Sus scrofa: one gene and its partner. The protein of the gene in region 2 purifies or fractionates together with the protein of the main gene of each other region. This does not show direct contact. Links are inferred from orthologs where the notes say so. Each region holds a gene or a part of one and is shown on either strand. Other genes may lie near its edges.

Region 1 (4,676 bases), on a different chromosome or scaffold from region 2:
CATAATAAGTCTTTGAAATCTGTGGGGGTTTTTTGTTTGTTTTGTTTTTAGGGCCACATTCATGGCATATGGAGGTTCCCAGCCTAGGGGTCTAATTGGAATACAGCTGCCAGTCTGTGCCACGGACACAGCAATGCGGGATCCGAGCCGCATCTGCAACCTATACCACAGCTAACGGTAATGCCGGATCCTTAATCCACTGAGCAAGGCCAGGGATTGAACCCGCAACCTCATGGTTCCTAGTTGGATTTGTTTCCATTGCACCACAAAGGGAACACCTGAAATCCGTGTGTGTGTTTCATTTACTCTTAAATCTCATCAGAGTTCAGACTAGCCACATTTCAAATGTTGAACAGCCACTTGTGGTCCAAGGCTACTGTACTAGACAGCAGCAAGTACAGATCAAAGGTTCTGACCTCCCTCTTCTTGGCCACATTGTAGCCTTTCTAAGGATGCTGAGGAGTCCAGGAGCCACATTCTCTGAAAGCAGGCTGTTACTATGCACCAAATTTCAGAGCTGCAGAAGATAATAATCTTATCTAATTGGAAGAAGGTTTCATTATAAATTAAAATTAAGGGTCTCAAAATGCTCCAGAGGTCCAAAATGTATGAGACTCTTTAAAAAAGCATTTGTCAGAGAAACTAACATTTCCCTCTTGGAACTGTTACCTCTTCTGGGATGGGACAGGAATGTTTGTTCCCTTCTGCACGTCCCTGTTATTGTTCTTCTGTCTTGATAAACACCATCCAGGAAGAGTGGATTTTCTCTGGCCTGGAGCCAGGTTGGTGGAAAAATCCTTTGCCCTGGGCCCCTTTTCCTGCTCCATAGGGCAGTCGTCTGACTGTTTCTGACAGGGCTCACCAACCCACATGGTGGCTCCTGAAGAGACGTACATGCAGGACTGTTGAACTCTGGAAGGAAAGGGGGGTTGGTGAGCCATCATTTCCTGATTCCAGCAGTGGGCAGCCCTTGGTTCCAGACACTGTGCTAGGCACATGCTATGTTCTATCCTTTTATTCCTCACCACCACCCTCTGAGGTCAGCGTCAGCACCTGCAAAACCCAGACAGGCAGAGGTTCACTCAGGGTCTGCAGCCTTCTGACACCAGAGCCCAGAATCCCAGCATTCCAGACTCTGGGGGTTTTAGTGCTTTCTACACTAAAACAGACTTGGGAGCAAGGTCTGTCCAGAAAGTGTTCATCTCTGCATCCTGTTCCCATGCGAACAAGGTGCTGAAAGTTGAGTTCAATCTCCAAGAATTGAGGGTCAGATATTCAGGACTTTAGAAAAAGAAGCGGGACTTCCCGCTGTGGTGCAATAGGATTGGCAGCGTCTCTGCAGCTCCAGGACGCAGGTTTGATCCCCAGCTCAGCACAGTGGGTTAAGGATCCAGCGTTGCCGCAGGCTGCTTTGGTCGGCTGGGAATTCCATGTGCCGTGAGGCGGCCAAAAAAAGCGGGAGGGGGAGGAGATGGCTGCCCTTTCTACGTCAGTAAACCTAGGAGGGCTGCCTGATCTTTTTTTCCCTGGTTCCTGATACGTGAGAAGAATTGTGGTGCCAGGGAGCCCTGTGGCTTTAAGCCTAAGCCCTGGCAGGGGAGGAGACTGGGAGGGCTGTGGAGGGTGCCCGCCTACCTGGGGAACCTGCGCGAGGTGTGGCCGGAGCGGCTCGGGATGCGAGGTGGGCGGGGGCGGGCTGAAAGTTGGACAAGCAGGAAGTGAACCGACGGCCGCCCGGGAGGAAACCGATTTAGGCGAGTTCTGCTGCCGCCAGGCCCCAGCCGCTCGGAGACATGGTGAGAGAGCTGGAGACTAAGAAGGGGCTGATTTCAAGCCCAGCCAGAGGGTTCGAGGGGGAGGGCTGGGGATCAGCAAAGGAAAGTTAGTGGCAAAGTCCAGAGGGCCGAGCCAGCGCTGTGGCCTGTCTTCTTTGACAGTTCGTCTGCAAATAGTTCGGAGCTGCCTTGGGCGGGTGTTCCTGCTCCTTCTTCGCTCCCTCCCTCCCCTGACCCCGGAGCCGGCCGGGAGGGGGGCTCCGGTGGGGGTGGGGGAGTCCTAATTCTTCTCCTTCTCCAGCCGGCGGGCCCGCGGGTGTTGTGACATTCCTGGGCAGCGCCTCTGCTGTTCCCGTCGCAGGTTCCAGCCCAGCGGCGGAATCCCCCTTGCCTTTCTCTCTATTCTTGTACAGAAACGCAAAGAATGTGTCTCTCCCCTGAATCCAAGGAATCTAGCTCATCTCCATTAACGTGAGGAAGAGAGCTAAGGGTTTGAAAGTCAGAAGTGGGTTTTCTGTGAGTGTCTCGTTTGGACCCACACCAGAAGTCTAGTGGGTCAGGGAGGGAGTTTCTCCCTCCCTGTTCAAAAACCTTATCATAAAGCCTGGGGATGAGGCATCAGGCCAGGAAGAACTTGCCCTCCATTTCCCCCAACGCCCAGGCTGCTGTTTTTATTTTATACTTGCTTAAGCAGGCAGTGGCGTGGTGCCGGCTCATGACGCTAAATGGTGGGGAAAGCAGAAGTTTGTGGCCCAACGGCTCTCTGGTGGGGCCTTGTGAGGGACTTGTAGCCTGGTGGCTGTTGTTCTGGGTCACAGCCATCAGGCTGCCCAGGAGGTCCGGAGAGAGAGGGAGAGTTGAGCTGGGTGAGGGTGGTCTGCGGGCTGGCACAGGCATTTTTACTGAGGACCCTATGGGATTTGAGAGTTGGTGAGGAGCAGTGGGGCTGTGCACTGTGAAATGCCAGCTCAGCTGTCTCCTGGAACCCTCTTTGAGGAAAAGAAGCAGTGGAGAGGGGTTTGGTAGTGGTATTTGTCATGCACCCTGAGAACCCACAAAGAGGTTTGATTCAATGTCTCCTAGCATGGCTCTTTACCATCTGGGGCTTAAACATGTAGGTTTTTTTCACTGTGCCCTATGGCATGTGGAAGTTCCCAGGCCAAGGATCAAACCCAAGCCTCAGCTGTAACCAGAGCCACAGCAGTGGTAACACCAGATCCTTAACTTCCTGAGCCACTGGGGAACTCCAGATGCTTTATTTTATTTTATTTTTTTGTCTTTTTGCCTGTTCTAGGGCCACTCCCGCGGCATATGGAGGTTCCCAGGCTAGGGGTCTCGTTGGAGCCGTAGCCGCCGTCCTACACCACAGCCACAGCAATGCAGGATCTGAGCCATGTCTGCAACCTACACCACAGCTCACAGCAACGCCAGATCCTTAACCCACTGAGCAAGGCCAGGGACTGAACCTGCAACCCCATGGCTCCTAGTTGGATTCGTTAACCACCGTGCCACAACGGGAACTCCAAAATCCTGTTTTTTTTTAAATCTTTTTATTTTAGGGCTGCACCCTTGGCATATGGAAGTTTGCAGGCTAGGGGTCATATCAGACCTATAGCCGCTGGCCTACACCACAGCCACAGCAACAGCAACGTGGGATCCAAGCCAAGTCTGTGACCTACACCACCACAGCAATGCTGGATCCTTAACCCACTGAGCAAGGCCAGGGATCGAACCTGCCACCTCATGGATGCTAGTCAGATTTGTTTCTGCTGAGCCACAATGACGGGAACTCCTGCATTTGTTTTTTTATTACATGCATACTTAGCAGAAAACCTTCTCTTTGTAAATAGTTCAAGCATTACAAAAGCTTAAGTCCATCTTAGGCCTCCCCCTCCTCTGGCCTCTGAGGCTGAGTCTCAGTCCCTCCACCACTTGGCTTAATTAACCGTTTTGTTGCTGCCCAGGAGGAGGCCAGTGGCGGTGGAGGGGATGACCGCGTGCGGAACCTGCGGAGTGAAGTGGAGGGAGTCAAGAATATTATGACCCAGAATGTGGAGCGGATCCTGGCCCGGGGAGAAAACTTGGACCATCTCCGCAACAAGACAGAGGATCTGGAAGCCACAGTGAGACAATGGGGAGCCTACTGGGGGCCAGAGGAAGAGGGGGAAGGAAGATTCTTGGGGGTTTGGGGATTGGCTGTCTTGGTGGCAGATGTTCAGGAGGGCAGTCTGCCTTTTCACCTGCATTGGGAATTGATGGGAGCAGATTCCCCACTTCTGATTCTGCTCTACTCCACTGATTGGTGCTGGGGTCCAGGGAATGGGTTCAAGGACTGGGGCTGGGGTGCATGGAGAGGGTGGAGGTGGGTGCGGACCCATGGAGGCATTTCCTGAGACAAATGGATGGCTCAGTCAGCCTGTGTCTTCTGAGGCTTCTCTCCTAGGAGACTTTCCCTTTGAAGGCTGCCCTTGACAATCATTTGGATCTGGCCTTCCCCAGGGCAAAAATATTGGCTCCAGAAAATCCTCTTAGGGCTCTAGGCCTTCCCCAGGAGTTGTTAGGCAGGTGGTGGAAAACTGTTAAGAATCTTGCTGAGCCAGCTTTAAAAAGAAGGTGGGAAAAGCAGTAAAAGTCTTTGATCCAGGGTTCTCTGCTAGCTAAAGGCTAGAATAATATCTCCCACATCTTTTTTTTTTTTTTTTTTTTAGGCCATCTGGTACCTGTAGCATATGGAAGTTCCCAGGCTAGGGGTCCAATCAGAGCTGTTGCCTCTGGCCACAGCCACAGCCACAGCAGCTTGGGATCCAGGCTGGATCTGTAACCTACACTGCCCCTCACAACAATGGCAGATCCTTAACCCACTGGACAAGGCCAGGGATCGAACCCGTGTCCTCATCGATG
Region 2 (4,233 bases):
TTCTACCACCTTCTGTCCTGATCTCAACCCTGGGAGGTTGAGCTGAATGGTTTATAACAGGCTCCTAGGTCCTTTGGCTCCCCTTGGGCTTGGACAGTAGGGAGCTCGTACAGGAGAGCAGAAGCAGGGGATGTGAGGTCAGGAAATTTATTCCCAACAGAAAGGCTGTCTGTGTCTCTCAGGATCAGGTCCCTGTTCCTCTAAAGTGTCCTGTTCTACATGATTCTCTCTGTCTTGGTTCCAGACCCCTCTCTCTACTCATGAGTCTCAAGCCTGGGGTACTATGGTTCCTACCTGCCTAACACCTTTAAAATAGTGCCCTTATTCATAAACCTTCCTTGAATTATTCTAATTTGAATGTGCCTTCTGTTTCACAAGGAGACTCTAACACAGGCAGCATCCTTAAAGGGGAGCCAGCTCTTGAACGTTTATACTTCGAGTCTACGGAAATCTTCCCTGATGATATTTTCATCTTATTTAAATCCATTGGTTAGCTTTTTTGAAGAAACAAGGTGGTATGCCATACAATATGAAATTTTCTCTGGTACGCTCAGACTAAAAAGATCTTCTCAGGTTCACAGGAAAATCATTTTGCGTATAGCTTCAGTCCGTAAAATGTAATTTATGTAAATATAGAAATAAGGTTTTATAAAGTAAATAGGTAAATTTTTAAGGTTTCCAAAGGCTTGTGTGTAACTCGTTACCTCAGTACTTGAAACAAGCTATCATTTTTCAATATACACAGCTTACCAGAGAACACAGTTTCTAACCCTTTCCTAAAATACTGAGTGTTTCTGTCCCCCTAAAATCCTTGCGTTAAAACCTGGTCCCCAGTGCAATGGTATTGAAAGATGGAGCCTTGGGAGGTGATTCAGTCATGAAGGTTGGAGCCCTCAAGAGCTGGATTAGTGCCCTCGTAGAAGAGGCCCCAGAAAGCTCTTTGGCCCCTTCTGCTGTGTGGGGACATAGGAAGAAGATAGCCATCTGTGAACCAGGAAGCGGGCTCTCACCAGACACCAAATTCGTCGGCACCTTGATCTTAGATTTCCCAGCCTCTGAAACTGTGAGAAATAAATTTCTGTTGTTTATAAGCCACCCAGTCTGAGTATCTTTGCCTGGCGTGTAGCCCAACCAGATTAAAATACCTTTGAAGCTCACAATTTAAACGTACAATTATTAGCAGACAGCAGATCATTAAAAAATAAATAAATAAACCCCATAATGCTAATACTCTTATCAAAGATAACCAACACTTATCATTTGGTTACAATGTGCCAAGCACGGTGTTAACATTTTCATATATTATCTTGTTTGATTTGCATCACGAATGTACAAGGTATGCACAACTCACCCGCATTTGACAAAGGAGGAAATGAGCCTTAAAATCTTCTGTCCACTGTCCCAGCACCAAGAAGCAAAGGACCCTAGATTCAAATCCTAGTGTCCAACATGAAAAGCTATGTTTTTAACGACCAATACAGCATCTAAGAGCAACATTAAAGACTAGAGAAGAACCAAAAGCTAAGAATGTTCCAAAGCCAATGACTTATTTCATTTGGTTACCTGCATTCAGAAAGCAATGTCAACATCGCAGTAAGCTTAGAAAAATTGCTAACAACAAAAAAGAATGCAACAGAGAACTCTCAGAGAAAAGCAAACCTCTTGTTCAGGAAGCTTATTTTTCTGTGCATGGTACACAAGAAGGGGTAAAAAATGAGGATGGAAATGGAACTATTTTGGTATTAGTTAAATTTTATCCTTGCCTACAGTTCCTGAAATTATACTATTATATTTTTATTTTAACCCAAATTGCCATGAAATGAAAACTTTCCTCTGACATAGTGGCGTATTTGTTGCAAGGGGCCTGAAGTTTAACATGTATTGGCTACTCTATGCATACCAATAGAACATATGCTGTGAAAGAGAATGGGCTAAAAAAAAAAAAAAATCTGGTCTAGAAATAGTATAATGGATCTGTTTCATAGCTCTTAATGCAACCGAGATTTTGCATAACAACTTGCGAAAGTATTTTAGGATGAGACTGTTGCTTAATACTCACTTTTGGTAAACCCTTTTTTGCACCATAGCCCTGTCCTGCGGAACTGATAAAAGTGAAACAGAAAAAGCACAAACAGAATGTAACAAATAAGCCATGCCTTTTACAGATACTATTTAGTCATAAGCCTACTGCTTTTGCATTTGAATACTTAAATTAGTTCTCAAAAGTGTAGCTTTCACCAGTAGACTAACCAGTTTTTTTTACATCCATGTTTTGTTCATTTAGAAGAATCTGTGCTATCCATTTATAAACTTTATATTTCTACAGCAAAAAAAGCCTTACTTTGGGATGGAGACATGGTTTTCTTCTCTTTTTCTTCTTCATCCATTCCATCCTCTTGCTGCAGCTCCATGTCTTTATTCCACTTATTTTTCCCTTTAACACACTCTGATTCCTTCTTCAGAGATGGCTTATAATTCCTATGAGTTCATGGGTTACAACCAGCCTTCTTCCAGGACCCAAAGGAAATTTAAAAGTACCATATTGGCACCCCAAAAAATAAACATGTTTCAAATGAATGTTTTAAAGATGAATTTAGTAAAAAGCGATACAGTCAAAATAGATACAGTAGAAACAGAAGTGTGAGCAGTGAACTCACAGATTCAATGGACAGTCTTTCCCTGAGTGTATCTGCTCTTGGGATGATGATCTTGTTAAGAAGAACTCTGAGAAGTCGACAGATGTTCTTCTTGGTCTCCAGCTCCTTGCCTTATGGACGTGCCCTTGTGTGATCCTTGGTAAGAGGTGGCACGGCCTTGCCTCACTGGGTGTTGAAAGCAGCCTGCTCTATTTGATTTCTGGAAACCCTCTTTTCTACAAGTTGATGATGGCAAAGGTGAATTATGAAACAGGAACTTTTGCCACAACTCAACATCCCTAGTCACAAAGAAACATTTATAAAACAAATGCCCTCATGCAGATTGAAACTTATAATTGATTACAGTGCAAATATGGGTGCTGGACATAATCTATTCATACCTTGTTTCTTTCATGGTCCTAGTACATTATCTCTCCAACTTAAGTAATGAGCACACCCCTCTTCAAGAGAAACAGATTATGTGGTACCAAGTATTGACAATTTACCTGAATGTAAGTACAAGGTACCTTACATAAACATGGCATAAATGCCTTATGACTACAGACTCTTTAAAAAACTATAATCTAGGAGTTCCCGTCGTGGCGCAGTGGTTAACGAATCCGACTAGGAACCATGAGGTTGCAGGTTCGGTCCCTGCCCTTGCTCAGTGGGTTAACGATCCGGCGTTGCCGTTAGCTGTGGTGTAGGTTGCAGACGTGGCTCGGATCCCGCGTTGCTGTGGCTCTGGCGTAGGCCGGTGGCTACAGCTCCGATTCAACCCCTAGCCTGGGAACCTCCATATGCCGCGGGAGCGGCCCAAGAAATAGCAACAACAACAACAACAAGACAAAAGACAAAAAAAAAAAAAAAACCAAAAACCAAAAAAACTATAATCTAGAAACCAAACCAGATCCAAGCCAATCTACACATTACAAATATAAAATTAATGATATTAAAATAAACAACATCTGAAGTTCCTGTCACGGCTCAGTGGAAACGAACCTGACTAGTATCCATGAGGATGAAGGTTCAATTCCTGGCTTTGCTTAGTGGGTTAAGGATCTGGTGTTGCTGTGAGCTGTGATATAGATTACAGATGTGGCTTGGATCTGGCATTGCTGTGTTGTGACGTAGGCCAGCAGCTGCAGCTCCAATTCCACCCCTAGGCTGGGATCCACCATATGCTGCAGGTGCAGCCCTAAAAAGACAAAATAAATAAATTAATATGCTATACTATAATATAATATAATACAATATAATATAAAACTACATCAGTTTAATGCTTTTTGATGAAGCAAAACCATGAATGTTTGTTCCAGAAGTAGAAAGGTGCAATGGGGTATTTTCTATTTCGCTTATCTCTACGACTCTCTTTATTTTGGAAACAATACTCATTTGAATGATCCTCCTGGTTAATGCTATGATTTTTCCTTTTAAACTATGCATTCATCTTGAATCATCAAGTCACATTTTTTTTCAGCTTTACTGAGGTATAATTGACAACATTGTAAGAAATTTAAAGTATGCAATAGTGGTGATTTGATATATGTATATCTTGTAAAAAGTTTTGTTTTTTTTTTTTTTACCATTTAGTTAT

The links. The genes of interacting proteins can lie anywhere in the genome.
Region 1: the proteins of STX11 (region 2) and VAMP8 purify together in Homo sapiens (co-immunoprecipitation; 3 studies listed by BioGRID and IntAct, counting the BioPlex papers as one, with this or other methods). This does not show direct contact. The link is inferred for Sus scrofa from reciprocal best matches to the Homo sapiens genes STX11 and VAMP8.

What each region holds. Positions count from the first base shown.
Region 1 is NC_010445.4:59,189,869-59,194,544, reverse strand, and holds the start of VAMP8 (vesicle-associated membrane protein 8), read left to right. Parts: upstream 1-1,379; 5' UTR 1,380-1,793; coding exon 1,794-1,796; intron 1,797-3,739; coding exon 3,740-3,898; intron 3,899-4,676. UniProt on the Homo sapiens protein: SNAREs, soluble N-ethylmaleimide-sensitive factor-attachment protein receptors, are essential proteins for fusion of cellular membranes.
Region 2 is NC_010443.5:21,167,522-21,171,754, forward strand, and holds the start of STX11 (syntaxin-11), read right to left. Parts: upstream 2,801-4,233; 5' UTR 2,412-2,800; coding exon 2,342-2,411; intron 1-2,341. UniProt on the Homo sapiens protein: SNARE that acts to regulate protein transport between late endosomes and the trans-Golgi network.